Callithrix jacchus: one gene and its partners. The protein of the gene in region 3 purifies or fractionates together with the protein of the main gene of each other region. This does not show direct contact. Links are inferred from orthologs where the notes say so. Each region holds a gene or a part of one and is shown on either strand. Other genes may lie near its edges.

Region 1 (3,651 bases), on a different chromosome or scaffold from region 3:
TGACTCGGACAGCAAGTAAGCTGACTGCAGGCATATCATCCTATTCTTGTGACTGGAACCACAGAGTATTGTAGGGACAGCCCCTCTCTCAGGAAAAAACCCTAAGGGCTGAGGCTCCCTGTGAGTGTTGGGTGGAACAGCCCCCAGGGGATTTAATCTCAGCCCCACCATGCTCTAGCTGGTGCCATTGTGCAAGACACATTTCCCTTCTCTGCAGCAGCTTCCCTGGCCACTAAATAGTGGGGTTAGATAGAAGCTCTCCAAGGGCTCCCAGCGCGACGTGAGTCTTGATTCTGATCTGGCCTGATCCTGGATAATCGTGGGCAGATCCCTTATTCCTCTGGTGCCTCATCTTCTTTCGTGAAACAGTGGCTGTACCACTTGCATCTTAGGGTCATTGCAGTTGTAAGGGGAGCTGCCCAGAGCCTGGACGCAAGACCTAAATGTAGGATTCCAGTTCTGCTACTTTACTTACTCGGTAACATTGACTAGTTGACCTAATCTCCCTGGCTTTGGCTTCCTCATCTGTAAAATGACGATAGCAGCATTAGCACCTCACAGGATTATTGCAAGAAAGGAATGAGTTAACACATGTGAGCCCACAGAACAGTGCTTGGCATATGGTAAGCACTACATACATTTTGCTATTCTTCTGATTCTTTCAGTGTTAGTGATGTCAGCAAGTACTTGGCCCAGGCTGGTTTAATAAACCATCTGTGCTTCTACATGATGTCAATCCCTGATCACTGGAAGTCATCACGTGCCCTGGTCCCCTCGTCTCTGTCTTGCAGGACAATGCCATCCTCTGTCTCGTGGGGCGTCCTCCTGCTGGCAGGCCTGTGCTGCCTGGTCCCCGGCTCCCTGGCTGAGGATCCCCAGGGAGATGCTGCCCAGAAGATGGATACATCCCACCATGATCATGACCACCAAACCCACAACAAGATCGCCCCCAACCTGGCTGAGTTCACCCTCCGCCTATACCGCCAGCTGGCGCACCAGTCCAACACCACCAACATCTTCTTCTCCCCAATGAGCATCGCGACAGCCTTTGCAATGCTCTCCCTGGGGACCAAGGCTGACACTCACACCGAAATCCTGGAGGGCCTGAATTTCAACCTAACGGAGACTCCGGAGGCTCAGGTCCATGAAGGCTTCCAGGAACTCCTCCGTACCCTCAACCAGCCAGACAGCCAGCTCCAGCTGACCACTGGCAATGGCCTGTTCCTCAATGAGAGCCTGAAGCTAGTGGATAAGTTTTTGGAGGATGTCAAAAAGCTGTACCACTCGGAAGCCTTCTCTGTCAACTTCAGGGACCCTGAAAAGGCCAAGAAGCAGATCAACGACTATGTGGAGAAGGGAACCCAAGGGAAAATTGTGGATTTGGTCAAGGAGCTTGACGAAGACACGGCTTTTGCTCTGGTGAATTACATCTTCTTTAAAGGTAAGGTTGCACAATCAGCCTGAGCTGTTCCCATAGAAACAAACAAACAAAAATTCTCAGACCATCAGTTCTTGAACTCTCCTTGGCAATGCATTATGGGTTATAGCATCCATGTCTGCATGGATTCTTCAATTCTCTACACAAAAACACTACAGCGTTTTCCATCATTGAGTAATTTGGGGGAATAACAGGTTAAATTCTCAAAACTGCCGATGGCTCTGCAGAACTTTTCAGAGCCTTTAATGTCCTTATGTGTACTGTCTATGTAGAATATGTAATGCTTAGAACTACAGAACAAATTGTAGTACCCTGCTTAATGGGATAGTTTCATGGAACAGACTTTAGACAACTCTAGTGTCCGGGAATCAGTATCAGCTTTGCAGTCTGAAAGACCTGGGTTCAAATCCTGCCTCTACCACTTATATTAGTGCATTCTACCTCTTTGAGGTGCTAATTTCCCATCTTAGCATGGACAAAATAGCACCCTGACTGTCAGGCTTTTTAAGGATTAAACAAGTGACAAAGATCTTGGGGGGGCGGCGTGTGGCATACAGCAGGTGAAGGACTCTTATGTACCTCAGGCTGCCTTCCTGCCCCTGAGGGGTTACAATGTCACACTTATGGGGGCCCCAGGGCATTCTAAGCCAGCTCCCACTGTCCCAGGAAAACAGCCTGGGAGAGGGGAGGTGGGAGGCAAGCCCAGGCCTGCTTTCCTCCACTCTGAGGCTCCCTTGCTCTTGAGGCAGAGGAGGGCAGTGGGGAGCAGCCAGGCTGCAGTCAGCACAACTGAGGTCCCAGCTCTGCTCTTCAGACGCGGCAGGCCCCGTCCCTCTTCAGCTTCACTCTCCTCCTTCTGTCCAATGAGAAAGCTGAGCTCAGGGGTCCCTGAGGCACCTGCGCACTCTGCATGCCTCGATGGTGAAACTCTCTTGGTATGGCAGAGGGGAGGCTGCCTAGGCATCTGCATTTCCCCTGAGGATCCAGGAAAAGGCCTCAGGAGTAGTAAGCAGAATGTTTGCCCTGAATGAATAACTGAGCTGACAGTTAACTAAGGGCAGGGAGCCCCAGACAGGAGGTACCAAATGTGCCTGATGCTCCAGAATTTTATTTGTCATGTCCAAGACACCCTCAAATAAAAATACAATTCCAATAAAAATGCACAGCCAGGATGGCATCTCTTAGCCTGGCAACCCCACGATGTAGAAACTCTGCATATTCCTCTCATTCAGAATTATCCCCACACAATCCTTTCCGGGAGCTTCCCAGATGGTGAAGCTGAGGCTCGAGAGATGTGTGTCATCAAGGGGGCTCAGGGCTTCTCAGGGATGGGACTCTGGGCTCCTTTATTCTGCCACATTCTTCCAAACTTTCACCCACCCCTGGTGATGCCCATCTTCCTCTCTGTCCAGGCAAATGGGAGAGACCCTTTGAGGTCAAGAACACCGAGGAAGAGGACTTCCACATAGACCAGGTGACCAGTGTGAAGGTGCCCATGATGAGGCGTTTGGGCATGTTTAACATCCACCACTGTGATAAGCTGGAGGGCTGGGTGCTGCTGATGAAATACCTGGGCAATGCCACCGCCCTCTTCTTCCTGCCTGATGATGGGAAACTACAGCACCTGGAAAATGAACTCACCCACGATGTCATCTCCAAATCCCTGGAAGCTGAAACCAGAAGGTAATTCCCCAACCTGAGGCTGACCAAGAAGCTGCCCGCACCTCATAGCCATATTGGGACTGAGGCCCATCAGGACTGGCCAGAGGGCGGGGGAGGGTGAACCCCACATCCCTGGGTCACTGCTACTCTGCATAAACTTGGCTTCCAGAATGAGGCCACCACTGAGTTCAGGTAGCACCATCCATGCTCCATGAGGATGACAGTACCCAGGGGCGAGGAGGTAAAGGTCTAGTCCCTGGGGACTTCCCACTCTAGCGTAGACACTGTCCCTTCCCAATATTCAGGGCCCAGGGCAGGGACAGCAGCACCATCACATGTTCTTGCAGAACCAAGAAGGAACAGATGGCAAAGGCAACAGTGGAGTCAGGAGTTCAAGGGTAGACTGTCCCTGGGGGAACGGGGGAAGCGCCTGTGTGACAAGGCCCAGAAAAGCAAGGGTTGGAATTGGAACAGCCAGGGCACGTTAGCAGAATTCAAGCAAGTTCCACTGTCACTTTATCGATGCTGTTAGATTGGGCGCCCCACAGCAA
Region 2 (3,550 bases), on a different chromosome or scaffold from region 3:
GCTCATGGACCGATCCCTTTTGCATTCATGCCCACCTGCACTTTTATAGTATATTTCTTCTCCTGGGGTATGTTACAGACAGATGAAGAATAAAGGGAAGATACTTTACATTGGTGCTCCCTGTCCTGTCCCCTTTGAGAAAGATTGTGGACAGACCGAAGAGTGGGAGCAAGCTAGAATGAGAAATTAATGGGTGAATGCTTATTGATATGAGAGATTTTCGGGGAAATGAACTTGGATTGCTGGCTCTTGGAGAATACTGTTAGCTGGTAGAGATCTAGCTGGTGTGCCATCTCTCCTGCTCTAGCCATAGGTCCCAGAGCATTTGCTGTCACCTTTATACTTCTAGTTCAACTGTGAGAAGAGTATACTGAGTCCCTGGGCTTCTCTCTAGCCTGGACTGGTGGCTATCCTGTGATAATGGTTGGTAGAGGATCTGAGAAGTAGGCAAAGGTCACCACCTTCTCACCAGGACCTGTCTCTGAGCCAGACAAGCAAGATAACTGTTTTTTGGGTAATTAGGAAAGGCTATAATTTTGTTTTTGCCTCCATTCTGTATTCTTTCAGGTCCTGAGATCATGAGCAAATTGGCTGGTGAGTCTGAGAGCAACCTTCGTAAAGCCTTTGAGGAGGCTGAGAAGAATGCTCCTGCCATCATTTTCATTGATGAGCTGGATGCCATCGCTCCCAAAAGAGAGAAAGTAGGAGCTTACCTGAAGGGATAGTGGGGGGTTGAAAGGCTCTAACTTCACTTATGACCAGACATCCTGTTCTGGCAGACACATGGCGAGGTGGAGCGGCGTATTGTATCACAGTTGTTGACCCTCATGGATGGCCTAAAGCAGAGAGCACATGTTATTGTCATGGCAGCAACCAACAGACCCAACAGCATTGACCCAGCTCTACGGCGATTTGGTAAGCACTCCAGATATATCCAACCCTGCCCTTGCTTACATCTCACCTCTCTCCTTCATCTAAGTCACTTAATCCTCTTGAAGCCCTTTGCAGTGATTAGGTCCAGGGGTCTTTTTCCCTTATCCTGCATCCTGTCTAGACTGACCAACCACTTGGTTTTCCTGAAACTGAAAGGTTTCCCAGGGTTTGAGACTTTTTCACTGCTAACATCAGGACAATCCTATGCTAACTGAGATGGTTGGTCCTGCTAGGCCTGTCTCTTCCCTCTGGACTAGAAATGAGCCCTGTCTGTGTTCATGTACTGTCCCACAGGTCGTTTTGACCGGGAGGTAGATATTGGAATTCCTGATGCTACAGGACGCTTGGAAATTCTTCAGATCCATACCAAGAACATGAAGCTGGCAGATGATGTGGACCTGGAACAGGTAAAGTGATGATGAGGGCTGACTGGGCATTACAATATCTCTGTTTCTAGGCAGTTGCTGGGAACTGGCTTGGAACATAAGGTTAAGATGTGAGGAGATGGATTTTGATTTCTGGACAGGGGAAAGGAAGTGATCTGAGATTGAATCCAGGAAATTGGAGTTGACTTGTTTCTCAGTTAACACTGCATTTAGAGTAAATCAGAATTTCTGGGGCAGCTTTATTTCTAGGCCTCAAGTCCCGAATTGAGTACTTAAAACCCAGCCAATAAAGACATTGCTAGTACATATTCAACGAAATGAGAGGACCCAGGGATAGGAGTCGGGGGAAGGATTTCTGTTGTTTCTTAGCCTCCTGTGGGAGCTGGAGGCAGCATAGTAAGTAGGTCTTTCTCTACAGGTAGCCAATGAGACTCATGGGCATGTGGGTGCTGACTTAGCAGCCCTGTGCTCAGAGGCTGCTCTGCAAGCCATCCGCAAGAAGATGGATCTCATTGACCTAGAGGATGAGACCATTGATGCCGAGGTCATGAACTCTCTAGCAGTTACTATGGATGACTTCCGGGTAAGGACCACACCCCTACCTCAGGTACACACCTAATGTGCTTTGACCCTTCCCTGGTAAGTCTCATCCAGTTTTCCCTTCTTTTCTAGTGGGCTTTGAGCCAGAGTAACCCATCAGCACTGCGGGAAACTGTGGTAGAGGTGCCACAGGTAACCTGGGAAGACATCGGCGGCCTAGAGGATGTCAAACGTGAGCTTCAGGAGCTGGTCCAGGTAGGGTAACTTGGTCCAGGGTGAGTCACTGCCTTAGTGATGTGGGTGGTCTCAGGGTATCAACACATTGGCTGCAAGAGTTGTAAGAGCACAACTTAGGAACCTACTGTTCTTAGGTTTGAGGCATTAAGGAGTCTGCTTTTAGAGAACCTGGATCTGATACCATTGGGTACACCATGAAGCTTCCGTTTGGTTAGGTTTCTTTCAAAATATGGTGGTAGCCTTGAACCCTCTTTCCTTTTTGTCCTAGTATCCTGTGGAGCACCCAGACAAATTCCTCAAGTTTGGCATGACACCCTCCAAGGGAGTTCTGTTCTATGGACCTCCTGGCTGTGGGAAAACTTTGTTGGCCAAAGCCATTGCTAATGAATGCCAGGCCAACTTCATTTCCATCAAGGGTCCTGAGCTTCTCACCATGTGGTTTGGGGAGTCTGAGGCCAATGTCAGAGAAATCTTTGACAAGGTGAGCTATAATAGGGTGGACTCTGTATTCATTTGCCTGGGGGCAAGAACTGTTTTTCTTTAAGAGAGTTGAAACAGTGCTGGCTACTCAACTGGACAGTAATCTTTCTGAGGTCTGAGAGATCCAGTGTTTAGTTTTGTTTTGTTTTTTCTCTTGAGACAATATCTGGCTCTGTTGCCCAGGCTGGAGGGTAGTGGTGCAATCATAGTTCACTTGTAACCTTGAACTCCTGGGCTTAAGCAATTCTCCTACTTCAGCCTCCTAAGTAGCTGGGACTACAGGCATGCATCACCACATCTGGCTATTTTTTTTTTTTTTTTAGAGGTAAAGTCTTGGTATGTTGCCCAGGCTGTTTTTTAATTCCTGGCCTCAAGTGATCTTCCCACCTTGGCCTCCCAAAGTGCTGGGAATGCATGTATGAGCCACTGCATTTGGCCAGAGAGATTTAGTTTTGTTAGAGCTTGACTCAGTCTGTTCCTCCCACAGGCCCGCCAAGCTGCCCCCTGTGTGCTATTCTTTGATGAGCTGGATTCGATTGCCAAGGCTCGTGGAGGTAACATTGGAGATGGTGGTGGGGCTGCTGACCGAGTCATCAACCAGATCCTGACAGAAATGGATGGCATGTCCACAAAAAAGAATGTGTTCATAATTGGCGCTACCAACCGGCCTGACATCATTGATCCTGCCATCCTCAGACCTGGCCGTCTTGATCAGCTCATCTATATCCCACTTCCTGATGAGAAGTCCCGTGTTGCCATCCTCAAGGCTAACCTGCGCAAGTCCCCAGTTGCCAAGGCAGGTGCAAGATCATGGGCTATGGGGGACTTGTATGAGTCCTCAGGCTGGTATGGAGTGCTCTTTGGTTTCTGGACAAGATTCCATTGGGGTTAGGGTTGGTCTAAAGGGCAGGGAGAATTTTTGAGGGTATTAGGATAATCTAGAATCAGAAATAAAATGGGGTGGCCAAAGAAGA
Region 3 (3,651 bases):
TGGTACATTCTTATAATCAAATAATACTCAGCAATAAAAAGGAACAAATTACAAAAACATACAAGAACAGGCCGGGTGCGGTGGCTCACACCTGTAATCCCAGCACTTTGGGAGGCTGAGGTGGGTGGATCACGAGGTCAAGAGATTGAGACCATCCTGGTCAACATGGTGAAACCCAGTCTCTACTAAAAATGCAAAAAATTAGCTGGGCATGGTGGCGCGTGCCTGTAATCCCAGCTATTCAGGAGGCTGAGGCTGGAGAATTGCCTGAACCCAGGAAGCAGAGGTTGCGGTGAGCCAAGATCGCACTATTGCACTCCAGCCTGGATAACGAGAGCGAAACTCCGTCTCAAAAAAAAGAAAAAAAAAAGACATATAAGAACATAGATGAGTCTCAAAAACATTATGTTGAATTAAAAAAAAGACTTTTTTTTTTTTTGAGATGGAGTCTTGCTCTGTCACCCAGGCTGGAGTGTAATGGCGTGATCTTGGCTCACTGCAACCTCTGCCTCCCAAGTAGCTGGGATTACAGGCATACACCAAGTCGGCTAATTTTTTGGTATTTTTAGTAGCGACAAGGGTTTCACTTTATTGGTCAGGCTGGTCTCAAACTCCTGACCTTGTGATCCGCCAACCTTAGCCTCCCGAAGTGCTGGGATTACAGGCATGAGCCACCGCACTCTGCCTGAAAAAAACCTTATACAAAGGAGTACATACACACTGTACGATTCTACTCATGAAGTTGCAGAACATGAAAAACTAATCTACAGAGGACAAAATCAGAATAGCGATTGCTTCTTGGGGGACAGGTGCAATGACTAACAGGGAAAGACATCAGGGAACTTTCTGGTTGATGGTAATTTTCTGCCTTGATATATACACGTGTGTGCATTTATAAACATTCATTAGTTGACACACTAAATATCTGTGTATTTTGTTGCACATAATTACCAAACTCTAGTTAATGATATATATACTAAAGTATACAAGGAATTAAGTATACATATGATGGCACATATGTTTTGGACAGGAAAGCTAGATGGAGGGATAGGTGTGCAAAAAGAATAGGGAACTATCAGGCCGGGCATGGTGGCTCACACCTGTAATCATAGCACTTTGGGAGGCCAAGGCCAAGGCCAAGGCCAGCAGATCACCTGAGGGAGTTCAAGACCAGCCTGAGTAACATGGAGAAACCACATCTCTACTAAAAATACAAAATTAGCATGGTAGCACATGTCTGTAATCCCAGCTACTTGGGAGGCTGGAGGAAAATTGCTTGAACCTGAGAGGCAGAGGTTGTGGTGAGCCAAGAATACGCCATTGCACTCCAGCCTGGGCAAAAAGAGAAACTTCACCTCAAAAAAAAAAAAAAAAAAAAAAAAAAGAACAGGCAACTATTGATTACAGAATTTATGTGGTGCCTAAATGAAGCTCACATTTTTTTTCTGATTTCCTATAAGTTTAGAAATTTTCATAATAAAATATGGGAGGAAACAAATAGAAAGGAAAAAAGCTAGTATGAACCATGGGGTAGTACTAGAAATGATAGCATAAACCCGTGTTTTTGAAAATCTACAGATCTAAAAATATACATGTGTATACATTATCATACATAGATATAATTCCACTGCTCTGTTCACTGAGAGGATCTGGGAATAGCAACACTTCAATAGCAATGAGCACATATAGCACCCAGATCCTGGCTTCTAAATACCATTCTCCACTTTAAAGGAACCAGGGCTCCTTGAAGAAACAGCTGATTCCAGGACCGGATCAAGGAGAGCACAACATGAGCCTGGTATATCTTGTTGAGCCAGAAAACAATTGCAAAAAAAAAAAAAAAAAAAAAAAAGTGGGGTGTGGTGGCTCACACCTGTAATCCCAATGCTTTGGGAGGCCAAGAGACAGGAGGATCACCTGAGGATAGGAGTTCAAGACTAGCCTGAGCAACACAGAGAGACCACATTTCCACACACAAAATTTTTTTTTTAAATTAGCAGAGCCTGGTGGTGTGTACCTGTAGTCCCAGCTACTTGGGAGGCTGAGGTGGGAGGGTCACTTGAGCCCAGGGGTTTGAGTTAAGAGTGAGCTACGATCATACCACTGCACTGAGCTCAAGTGATCTGTCTGCCTTCACCTCCCAAAGTACCGGGATTACAGGCATATGTTATGTTGTCCAGGCTGGAATGCAGTGGCTATTTTAAAAGGCCTGGCCAAAGAATAGCAGTGGCTATTCACAGGCGCAATCATAGTGCACAACAGCCTTGACTGGCTCAGCATTTAAAAAAAAGTACACAGATAGCAAAGTCTGAAGAATACAAAAAGAAAAGTTAACAATAGCAGCCCCTGCTACATCCAAGTGTCAGGATCATGGACAATTTTACTTTCTTGCTTAAATATTCTACAACAAACATTTTATAACAAAAACTCACATTTTATTTCTCAAGTGAGCCCTTTTTAATATGGTATCTCCCAAGGACACCAAATTCCAGAGTAGAAAGAGGTCTCATAAATCAAAAGTTCTACTGCACTCCAGCCTAGGTGACAGAGCAAGACCCCATGTCCAAAAAAAAAAAAAGAAATCAAAGTTCTATTGTTCTATTTCAGGAAACTGAAGTTCAAAAAAGGAGGGACTTGCTATACAACTGGTCAGTAGGACAGCTATACCTGGTTTCCAGTCCAAAGCTACTTCCACTCTGCTTCACTGCTTATCTCAACCACCTGCTTGGCAGGTCAGAAAGTCCACCATTAGAAACTTTCATCAGTTTTGCTCATTTTGCTACCTTACTTCACTAAACGTGGACAGCAGCTTTCATAAAAACAGTAGACTCCTCCTGGAACATGAAGTTCTAGTGGTCATCTGGAACAACAATTACCAGGTTACTCAACAAGATATCCTGAGCCTGTTAACCTTGCTCTGGCCACAACCCTGGCACTGTCGGTTACTACCCAATCCAAGTGCTCTTCAACTGCAGCCAGCTTGCTCAATCTGTAAATAGTTACTGACCTCAACTATGTGTACTAGGAGCTAGGAGAGCCCAAGAAAACACAGATCATGACCCCCATCCTAGTTTGCCTGTAAGAGTATGTAAATACTCACAAGATAGATGGTGTTTTCAGAATTCTTATTCCACCAGGCTGATTAGGAAATACATCTTCCAAGAAAAAATATATGTGTCCAACTGCAATACCTAAAGTCAAGCAGAAATAAAGGATGAGGGAGACAATGAAAATTTGGATTGCAGGCATACCTACCAACATAAATTGCCTATATTTAGGATGAATGGCAGCATAATTATTAATGAACGAATATTGTAGTCTTTTACAATACTTATACATGAAAGCCAAACAGAATATACAGGAAAAATAGTGACAAAATACATTTACAGGTAAAAGAATTTAAAAAATAGTGAGAAAAGCCTTACCCAAAAGGTCCACAATGATCGAGTTCCCCAACAACAAGGAAAACCCCATGAGCACCCAGGGCAGAAAGGGGGCCTGGAAGTTGAGAAGGCCGAAGAAGTTCATGCGGACATAGGGGTTCCTTCGGCTCCACACGTAGACGAGCATTATTGTAAAGGCCTGGCCCAAGAAAACTAAGCTCACAAACAAACCAAAAAGCTAGCAGATAGCATTAAGGAAAATGTCAAC

The links. Proteins that work in one complex are often made in the same cells at the same time.
Region 1: the proteins of DERL2 (region 3) and SERPINA1 purify together in Homo sapiens (affinity purification with western blotting; 3 studies listed by BioGRID). This does not show direct contact. The link is inferred for Callithrix jacchus from reciprocal best matches to the Homo sapiens genes DERL2 and SERPINA1.
Region 2: the proteins of DERL2 (region 3) and VCP purify together in Homo sapiens (affinity purification with western blotting; 4 studies listed by BioGRID and IntAct, with this or other methods). This does not show direct contact. The link is inferred for Callithrix jacchus from reciprocal best matches to the Homo sapiens genes DERL2 and VCP.

The regions. Positions count from the first base shown.
Region 1 is NC_133509.1:129,215,561-129,219,211, reverse strand, and holds part of SERPINA1 (alpha-1-antitrypsin), read left to right. Parts: intron 1-791; 5' UTR 792-795; coding exon 796-1,441; intron 1,442-2,850; coding exon 2,851-3,121; intron 3,122-3,651.
Region 2 is NC_133502.1:141,939,404-141,942,953, reverse strand, and holds part of VCP (transitional endoplasmic reticulum ATPase), read left to right. Parts: intron 1-567; coding exon 568-701; intron 702-779; coding exon 780-915; intron 916-1,227; coding exon 1,228-1,340; intron 1,341-1,737; coding exon 1,738-1,902; intron 1,903-1,991; coding exon 1,992-2,114; intron 2,115-2,364; coding exon 2,365-2,577; intron 2,578-3,063; coding exon 3,064-3,372; intron 3,373-3,550. UniProt on the Homo sapiens protein: Necessary for the fragmentation of Golgi stacks during mitosis and for their reassembly after mitosis. Involved in the formation of the transitional endoplasmic reticulum (tER).
Region 3 is NC_133506.1:107,012,784-107,016,434, forward strand, and holds part of DERL2 (derlin-2), read right to left. Parts: intron 3,622-3,651; coding exon 3,426-3,621; intron 3,192-3,425; coding exon 3,101-3,191; intron 2,861-3,100; coding exon of another isoform or gene 2,857-2,860; exon of another isoform or gene 1,977-2,856; intron 349-1,976; coding exon of another isoform or gene 309-348; exon of another isoform or gene 1-308.